Drosophila melanogaster: one gene and its partner. The protein of the gene in region 1 purifies or fractionates together with the protein of each later gene. This does not show direct contact. Each region holds a gene or a part of one and is shown in the gene's direction. Other genes may lie near its edges.

Evidence for each region.
Region 2: the proteins of how (region 1) and Hrb27C purify together in Drosophila melanogaster (affinity purification with western blotting, with the first as the bait; one study listed by BioGRID). This does not show direct contact.

The regions. Positions count from the first base shown.
Region 1 is NT_033777.3:22,040,068-22,045,356, forward strand, and holds the start of how (held out wings), read left to right. Parts: upstream 1-2,123; 5' UTR 2,124-2,288; intron 2,289-2,839; 5' UTR 2,840-2,996; coding exon 2,997-3,312; intron 3,313-5,289. UniProt on the Drosophila melanogaster protein: RNA-binding protein involved in muscle development and dosage compensation. Vital role in steroid regulation of muscle development and to control heart rate.
Region 2 is NT_033779.5:6,918,747-6,923,872, forward strand, and holds the start of Hrb27C (heterogeneous nuclear ribonucleoprotein at 27C), read left to right. Parts: upstream 1-1,957; 5' UTR 1,958-2,115; intron 2,116-2,219; exon of another isoform or gene 2,220-2,327; intron 2,328-2,513; exon of another isoform or gene 2,514-2,694; intron 2,695-2,892; exon of another isoform or gene 2,893-3,052; intron 3,053-3,984; exon of another isoform or gene 3,985-3,988; 5' UTR 3,989-4,080; intron 4,081-5,037; 5' UTR 5,038-5,126. Other genes in the region: x16 splicing factor, read right to left, coding at 778-1,196. UniProt on the Drosophila melanogaster protein: This protein is a component of ribonucleosomes. Could be needed to organize a concentration gradient of a dorsalizing morphogen (Dm) originating in the germinal vesicle.

The DNA.
Region 1 (5,289 bases):
ATTTGCATTCGACACAAACGTGCAGTGGCCAAAAAAGGATTCCCGGGACCAGCAATATAGTGTTAGCGCCGCCTGGCAGGTTGTCAATCTTTGGAACCACTTCTTTTTTAGCAGCCGAATTGGTCAAACAATCGAATTGCATTTGGGTAGCAATATCTCTCTGTTAATAGGCAATGAAAGATTTGTGGGATATTTCCGACTTTAGATTTAGGTTGTTGAACTAATGGTGCATAACCAAAATTTCTGAACTTTTCAGTTTACACAAAACTTGAACCAATTCAAGCATTTTCTCGCCTAACTTTACAGCTGCTGGAAAACTTTTATTTTGCGGCCATTTCGGTTTTCCAAAACCGAAAGTGCCGCCCAAAACGACCCACTCACAATGTAAAACACCACATTCAAAAGGGCAAATTCCAAAAGCACTAGAGAGATTAACGGCCCACGGAAAACTTGGCACTTCGGACTTGGCCAGATGTCCAATGGGCCGATACTGGGCGACGTGGGTGTGCGGATTGGAAAGGGCTTTGGTCTGTGGCCCAGAGATTTAAATCGGATATCCATCCATAGGCATACAATGTCTCAATCGCCACGCACATTGACACATTTTTCAATGGCACTAAAACTGTATAATGGGGCCGTACAACGCATTTAATGTCGGCCCACACACACAGGCCAATTCCGATCGGTTTGAGCCAAGTGCACACAAATTTGGTGGGACTTGTGGCCGGACTGTGAAACTTGGCCAGGTGAGGTCCGGTGGTGGGAGTCTGCTTTCCAATGGAACGACCAATCCGATGTCCATCCACAACTTTGGCCACAACTTTAAACTTTCACGTCTCATTTTGGTGTATGCTGGTTTCAAAAATCGGATCTTGCCCCATGCCTGCCGTTGGCTAGATGTGCCGCCCCAGAAATTTTGGGTTCCGATGGGGAAGACTGTTGCAATGAAGTGATCCTCATACATATATGTATATCAAAATATTGTTGAAGACACAGGCAACACACAATAAGTTCACCGATCCACTGGCATTAAGTGTTGTAATAGTGGAAGGACCTAAATGTGAACAGAACACGAGTAAAATTTTAGAATAAAAGTAGCTTTGTAGACTTAAAAGATTGTTTTATTTTGATACACTTTATCGATAATTAATTATTTTTAGTACGCAATATCTTAATACTGCGTTGAATTTTTGTGAAATTCGCCAACCACACGGAAGCCAGCGAAAAATGTCTTTCGCGATGGAAAGTAAAAGTTGTCGCCGGCCTAGGGTCGCTTATATGGTGCGTCCATCGAAACGCTCGCGAATGCCAATTTTCCCACATACATTTCGCGTTTTGCAGCAGAGTTAACCAAGTTAACACCAACATTTGGCCAGTACGAGTTCGGGGGCTCATTTGCATGGTGTTTTGGACTTGGGGCCCAGATGCCAGCCCCCGCATATGTCCGGCGAAACAAAATGCCGCTTGGTTCTAATCTGCCAGCAATTTCCGTGCGCAATTAATGCCTCCACAGCGCAGTGTCTTAATTAATTCAAAATCAACGCCAACGCGCCAAATTGTGGCCCACCCAGCTACCAGGTGGCAACGCTGAATGTTGTTAGTCAATTAATGCATTAACTAGCCTCCATTTGGAAGAATATTAATGGCCCACCTTTGTATTTAGTTGCTATTAACTTATTTGGCCATTTATTAACTTTTATACTCGCACTTTTGGCTAAAATATGTGTAATATGTTAACCAGCTGCGCAACTCTGTTTGTGCGGAGTGGCAACGCTGATGGGTGATCTCGCATGCTGGCAGTAGGGTGCGAGAGAGCCAAGTCAGAGAGAAACTGACGTCACAAGATGGGTATTGGCGTATTTTTTATGGAAATGGTTATGCAAATATTGACTAAACGTCACCGAGTAGTTAAAAGCACTGATATATTAGAAATTAGTTAATTTAGATCAAAAATACCCCCAAATATATAACCAAATATTGGCTTTTAAATATTTATTAAAAGCAATCGCACTTTGTGACGTCACTGGGCGAGAGAGCAGAGAAACGAGAGCACATTGAAACCACCACCCCACGATCGAACTGGCATGATCTCACACTTACAACGTTTTGTGCTCTTCGCTTCGCATTCAGTTTCTTTTTCTCTTTCTTTGCGCACGGTTCAGTGGTAGGAAAATTAGGAGGAATCGTTCAGTAAAGTCCCGAGATCCGTTCGCTATTCCCCGACTCGAATAAAATCCATATACACATATATCAAATAAACAAAGGATAGGAGTCCTCAGAGAAGAAAAGTGTGTTTAAAAAAAATACTTTCCAAACAAAACGAAATGAATAAAATCCAAAGCCATCCAGTAGCAACAACAAATACATAATCAGCAACTGTGCATATTTCTGCGAGTTTTCTTGCATTTTTAAATCGGTTAAGTGGCCTTGTGCACTCGGTACATCTCCAGGCAAAGGAATTTATACCTTTGTATCTTCAAAACGTAGAAATTTGAATATAAAATTTATTTAAATACTTTTTTGTTGTACTTGCTGTTGCAGCAGCCAAATGAGCGAGGGTGAGAGAGAGAGGCAGCTATTTTGACATTCTGCTTTCATTCATCTCCGTCGCATATACAGTTTTACTGTTTATTGTCCGTGTGTGAGTGAGCGATCGCCGAGGAATTTTCTGCCTTCGCTTTCGACTTGCTGCGCTCTCTCGCTCTCTCAGTATCTCTCGCCCTGCATTGTTGTTGCTGCCGATCGGAAAAAATACTTTTGGGCGGAGTTGTTTTCATTTCGTTTTCCGTTTTTAATATCGCTCGCGTACGAAACTTAATGAATTTCCCAACTCCCACAGTAACGTGTTAAAAGTAGCAAAAACAAATAAAAAAGAAGTGTGCACCAAGTAAAGAAAGCAGAGACCCAAGGAAAGTTGAAAGTTGAAAACCAGAATCTCGTCGAGAACAAAACAAAAAGTTCCCAAAAACCCACACATCACACACGCACGCAACAAAATGAGTGTCTGTGAGAGCAAAGCCGTTGTGCAACAGCAACTGCAGCAGCACTTGCAGCAACAGGCAGCCGCAGCAGTTGTTGCGGTCGCGCAACAGCAGCAGGCTCAAGCCCAAGCCCAGGCTCAGGCTCAGGCACAGCAGCAGCAACAGGCGCCGCAGGTGGTGGTCCCCATGACCCCGCAGCACTTGACCCCACAGCAGCAGCAGCAGAGCACACAGAGCATCGCCGACTATCTGGCCCAGTTGCTCAAGGACCGCAAGCAACTGGCCGCCTTCCCCAACGTCTTCACCCACGTCGAACGCCTGCTGGACGAAGGTAAGTCGCTAAAACTCAAACCGAGTGAGATCCCTCCAAGTCACAGCATCATCCTAATCCCGGATCCAAGACTCAGCGGAAGGATAACGATCACTAGCTAGCCTTTTCTGAATCAAACGATAAACCCAGTTACTGTTTGTTATTGTGATAATATCCTTTTATTCATCAAACACTTTACAGTACCATTAGGAAATTGTTATATATAATAAATGTGATGAAATGTGGTGAAAGAAGAAATTTGGATATTCTTGTTATAATGTTCAGATATTTAACTCTAGAATGTATTAGAACTTTGTGTTTGTATTCCAAAAATTCATGAAAAGAACATTAAACTATTGTAGTATACAAATCGATGCCATTACAGTTTGGTTTATATCTTTTTTAATTGTTCAAAAAATATTTGCAAAGCACTTTAATTCCGAGAATCTGGCGGGATTTATTGTAAACATGTATTACAGAGACTGTAGGTATTTAGAACACATTTGGGTAAATGGGAGAGTTTAAATGAGTATATATGTTATTTTAAAGTGGTGACTTCATTTTCAATCGTGTGTGCCAGGCGTGTTAATGATTAGGGTGCCTCTAACCAAGTGATCACTGTAGTTCAATCAGTTTTGGGGCATGGATCTCTGGGTGTCTGGTTTGTCTCCTCGGCGTCTCCTTTTCGGCATCTTCTCCATCGCGGGTTCTGAGTTCATTCCACCTTACAAACCGAAACGAGATGTTTGTTATTTTTAGTTACTTCCTTTTTGTGCGCCTCTTCGCGGAGCGCACACTACTTACACCTCTCTCCGGGCTCTCTCCTTTTGTATTCTTGGCTCCACACTTGACTGCCAGTGCAGCCTTTGTTGTTCTCATTATGAATTCTTTGTTGACTCGGCCATTCGTAAACCAAAAAGGAGGGAGGCTTGGATTTTGAGAGACGCAGAAGGAGATGCGAAACCCCAGGGGGGGAACCCCCAACAAAGATAGAAACATTAATGTGGTGTGGTATTATGTGATAAGAGATCATTTTATTCACAAGCATGTATGAATTTATACATATGCTAAAAGTTTTAAAATTTTCGAATCTGGAATATTATTGGATCCATTTAATGATCTGCTTTGCTCTGTGCACTGAACGTGTAGCAAACTTATCTGAAAGAGGAAAAATGTACCTCAACTGCCCACGCTTTGCCTCGAAAACCAAAAAAATCAAAAAAAAAGAAAATATGAATAAATATACGGCAACGAAGCAAAAACTCTTAAAGGCAAGCCAACAAAAGTCAACTTTCGGGGCGGGATAGGGGCGGTATAGGGGCAGGGGCGTGGCACTACCTGGTCGCATCTTGTATCTTGTATCTGGCATATCGGAGCTCTCGTTTCTGTATTTGCCCAACATCTGTTGCCCATATGCAGGCCGGCCAAGAGGGTGTGTGTCGCCTCGTAATGACAAAATTATGTTGCACAGATACACAGATTCAGATACTGGTGCGGTATTTGCGGATTGCAAGGTACCGCTAGATGGCCAGAGTACACTTATTATGTACAGCGTATGTTTGGATTACTTTAATATACGTTTTTTTTTACCATATTGCTTAATCAATTTGTTTATAATTGCTACTACAATTTAAATTACATTTAATTATTGCAATTAAACTTGAAATGTGATAGCAAATGGTCTGTATAATAAGATGCAAGATCTTGATTTCTCTCTTCATTTGGAAAATATCCAAGAAGTCGGTGGTCTTATCTAGACCAATCAGATTATTGATTACCAGGTACCAGGAGGTATCGCACTGTCGGAAAACTCGCCCAAAAGCTTATATTCTTGTTTTGGTTTCGTCTCGGCATAACTGCAAACTAGTTTGCCTGTCTACAAATTGTATTTGCTAAAAGCAAAGCGTTGACAATTTGTAAAACTCGTTCCACCAGACTACAAAATCCAAAGAGCTGAAAAAATACGCAAAACAAAATACAGATTTCAAACCCACCTCG
Region 2 (5,126 bases), on another chromosome or scaffold:
CGTGTGCCTTCGGTCTACGGCGTTGCCACTTGGTTCGCGCATAACAGCACCACTGTAATTAATTCACCACGAACGTAAAAGCGCGGGGAAAATAGCGTAGGAGGGTGTCTTGCAGCCGCCTGCTACCCTTTTGTTTACCACTTATTTTAATTTGTCTATTTCTAATCAAATCAATCAAACTTTAATATCAATATTAAATATATTAGAGGACTTCGCTAAATCATTGTCACGTAACTATTTGTAAGCTTTTGTGCAATTTACGGACAAATTCTTGTGCTCAAGAGTATAAAATATATATATTTTATATATTTATTAATCACGAAAGTGTTTACATTTTTACAATATATTAGACTTATAATAGTCTATATAATAGACTTAAAAACAAAATTCTGTTATTACTATCTGAATAGATAACTACTGTTGTCAAGCATGATTTTGTTAGACAATTGTAGAAGCTATATACTTCTCATATCGATATTAATGGGTATGCCACCCGAGCACGTGTGCGTGCTGTTATGGTACAGAACTACTTCATGCGCTGGGATTAACAGCACTCATTGCGCATAACAGCACGCTGTTAGTTTTAACAGGCGACAGAGGTGCCCAAACAAACTCAACATTTTTGCATGCGCATACACACAAGCATGCATGTATGTATGTATGCGTTTGTTTGTATGTATGCCTTTCTCTCGCCATGTTACAAAAAGCAAGAAGTTTTTGGCAACGACAATGAATGAAAAATTGAAATGGCGAATTGCAAATGCGAATTGCGCTTACCTGCGTCGCTGCCTGGCCTTCCTTTCGCGACAGTGGCGAGCGAAATGCCCCCGTCCGCCGCACTCGTAGCACTTATCGTCCCCACGACCACCGCCGCCTCGGTCGCGTCCTCCGAGTCCTCCACCACCACCGCCTCCACCACCTCCGCCACCACCACCGCCGGACCTAGCATACTTTCCGGTGGACAATTCCACACGGGCTCGGCGCCCGCAAACCGTCCGTCCGTCCAATCCGCGCACCGCATCCGCCGCATCGCGGGCACTCTCAAACTCCACGAAGGCGAAGCCCGGCGGATTGCGGGCTATCCAGACGCTGCGCAAACTGCCGTACGCTCCAAATACATACTCCAGGTCGTTCTTCCGGGCATTGTTGCCCAGATCGCCCACGTACACCTTTCTATCGCTCGGATGGCGCGACATTTCTGTTTATTTCGCTTTTCCCCGGGCCCAAATTAATGTGGCAGCAGCGCAGAAAAAAATCGATGATGGGTTGGAATCACTTGCCACCGCCTTCCTGGGCACTTTGGTCGGTCAATCGCGCACTGGCGAACACTTTTAGTCACTTAACACGGTCGGCAGATGCGAATTTTTGTGTTTATTTTCTATTTAATGCAGCGCAAAACTCATTTTACCGGGTAGCAAACAGAGTGACCGTGGACAGACCATTAAAAGAAACTGCGGACTCGCTAAAAATATACCAAAAGTTATGCTCAATCCGCGGGTAACGGTCAGCAAAAGGCGGGAGTGTCTGGCAACAATAACTTCCAGGGCCGAAAAATGAAAATCTAAATATTTCCTTTTCAACTCCTACGAAAAAAATACTCAAAATTATTTTTTCCTTTCAAAACATTCCATCCGCCTAAAGAAAGCGACTATAAAACCTTTTTTAGTATAGTACATACAAATCATATACACACATCTTATTACATTTTTCACCTTTAAGATATTATTGTACTGCACAATTACATTTTAATGTAAATAATTTATAATACATTTTTTTAACCAGTCCCCTTTAACTTCCTTTATATTTAGCCTTCGTGTTAAAAGATAGATATAAATTCGTAATTTAAATTTGTTTTCTAGTATCTGTTAGATTCAGAATATATGTGGAGTATGTTTTAGTATATTCCGTGCAACTTGAGGTATTTTTTTTGGCTGGCGGCGGTCACACAGCATTAAACGTGGCGGCGATTTATCATATAAGTTAGGTTATAATATCGTATGCATCAAAATCATACAATTATTTATAAGCTAGTTTTTTAAGGAAAAAACACTTAAATTTAGTGAATTTGCAGTGCGAAATCTTTAAAAAACCACAGACGAACACTTGGCACAAACGGTAAGAACGAAAAGCGACCGAAAATCGCATTTACATAACAATTACAGTGCTTTAACAAAATGCCTGCCTAGCCTTTCCTTTCCAAAAAAAACGCCTGAATACTTGACGCAGCTGCCATTGCTCGGTGTGCGCGTGTGTTTGTGTGTGGGGTAAAATTGGCTCGATTCGTTCGAATCGTTTCTTCGCCTTTTCGGATTTCTCGACAAACAGAGGTTTGTGCAATTTTCAGCGATTTTTCGTGCCACTTTCGGCACTCTATTTCCACCCATCAAAGTGGAAAATTTCATATTTTTATACATACATACGAAAAAATGCTATGTATAACACCACACCAACGATCACGCACACCATTGCACAGCGCTCGGCGGCCATTCGCGCACACACACGCTCTCACGCGCACACACGTACGGCCAACTCATGCACTCACACACGCCAGCAGATTGCGGTGCAAAATACAAAAATCGTGCGAAATTCGTAAAATTGCGTATTAGAAATCTTGGTTAATTTCGCTCCTATTTCTCCGGCCCGAAAGCCCAAGTGTCAAAAGTGTACCCGGCGTGAAAGTGCATTCGTGAATTAGTGAGTGCCCCATCGATTAAACCGCCTGGCTGGCCAAACAAAACGAAAAGCGTAAAAATACAGTGAAATGCGTTTGTTCCCTTTTCTAAGAACTGAGACCCAAGACATTTCTTGAGACTTCTTTGTTGTATCATTTTTCATAAGGCACGTCTTCCATTTTGTTTTTTTTTCTTCGTTGCCTTTGCCGTGGTGAATTTCCCACACACTGCCAGTGCGATTCATTCAGTTCAGTCGTGAGTACTCAGCCAGCAACAACAATAAAACATTAATCGTTTAAAGCTGGAGGAAAACTCGAAAAAGAATTGTTTGTTTTTTCTTTCGATGGAATTAACATTTATTTTGAGGGCATTGGTTTTTGGTACGTTTGCTTTTCGCTTTCCATTCGCGTTCACGTCACACATGGCGTTGCCACATGTTTTTTCACTTGTTAATGGGCAAAATGTCTGCGAAGTGCTGCCAGTAAAGAAAACGGGATTTTCTTGATAACAAAGTGAATTTAAACCCGTTGTTCATTGGCGTTTGCACAAAAATTTAAATATACTCCTGTAGATGTTTACTTGGCCCACATCTGGCTGTAATCTGTAATACCCTGGCAAATGGCGCGCAAATGTGGTGAACCGGCGACAGCTCTCTTTTCACCTTGGAAATACATAAGTTCGTTGTTCTCATTGATAGGCGGCATGTGTGCTGGTGTGTGAGTGAGGCTGGGGATTTGTTACAACAACAACAACAACAACCATTCCGCTCGTGACACAGCGAAAAGAAAACAATACTTTCACGTAGCCGTTCAAAAACGAGTGAAAGGGGATGAGAGTAGTGTTGGGGTGTCGAAGGAGGAGCAAACTTGTGAACGTGTACAAAAAGCAGTTAGACGACAAACACACATACACGTGTACGGCGGAATCTCTTCAGCTGCGTGTGTTTGTGTGTATGTGTACCGGCCGGTTGCTTCTGCCGCTTTTTTCTCTTTTTTTTTTTTGTTCCTACCTGTGCCTTTCATAATAACTATGCGTGAATTTTTTGTCATCTGACCATTTCTACCCATTCGCACCAAAGATCTTTACACAGCAAGAAATATTGTCTCCGAAGGAAATGTAAATTTAAAAAAATTTCAACCATAGCCCTGGCCTTTAATTTTAATAACGTCAGTTTGCAAATAACCAAATTAACTATTCCACCTTGTTTTTTCCTGTGTAGCAATTCGATTAACCGGATTTCTTATATTCTATGTGTATCTTTCCATGTGCCTGCAACAAAAACAAACCGACGACATCGATATTGTTACGATAGAAAGTTACGTGTGAACGTCGTGGCTTTTGTTTAATTGTTTTGAAGGAAAAAAGAACTTTGGCAACGTTGAAACCAACCTAAGATATTGCCCAAAAAGTAAGATATTGCCCAAAAGTAATTGCGGATTTTTCATATAGTCGGCGTTGACAAATTTTTTCAACGGCTTGTAACTCTGTAATTGCATTCTTTCTTTGGTCAGTTATCAGCTGTTACTTTTAGCTTCCATTAGAAAAAAAAGTGCGCGAAATTTTGTTTTTATTTGTTTGTTTGGCGTCAATTTTAATATGGAGCCCACAAAGGAGCATTTTCGTCATATCTTACTTTATTATTTCCGTAAAGGAAAAAACGCGGAGAAGGTTGCTAGAAAGTTACGAGAGATACGATGGTATGGTGATGAAGCCTTAAAAGGAAGACAGTGTCAAAATTGGTTTCGCAAATTCCGTTCTGGAGATTTTTCACTTAGAGATGAGCCACGTTCAGGCCAAATGAAGTTGATGATGACCAAATCAAAGCATTATTATTTATCGAATTAGATCGTCATGTAACTTGAGCGTGAGATAGGAGAGAAGTTAAATATACCAAAAATCAACCGTTCATTATAAAAAGTCTTGGACTGGTGAAAAAGCTTGATATTTGGGTACCACATGTATTGAAAGAAATTCATTTAACACACCGAATCAACGCTTGTGATAAGCACCTTAAACGCAATGAATTCGATCCGTTTCACTTCAATGGCTGATATCCACCAAAAGAAGGTTATGCTGTCTGTTTGGTGGTATTGGAAGGGTGTCGTATATTTTTAGCTGCTTCCAAGGAACCAAACGATTAATTCGGATGTTCGCCAGAAAGATGGCAAAAGATTATCGAACAATATATTTGATTAAAGTTCATTCGAAGTTTTATTAAAAATGCATTTACTTTCATTTACAAAATCCGCAATTACTTTTTGGACAACCCATACATAAAATACATACAAACATAAATACATAAAAAAAAACACAAAAAAAAAATACCAGCAGCAGTGTAAAAATTGTATATTCTCCCCCAAAACAGGCAACCAACCGAACACAAGTTAATTTCTTTGCACCCCGTGTTAATAAAAAAGCGGCAAGATTACGTCAATTATTGAGAACCTACCCGGC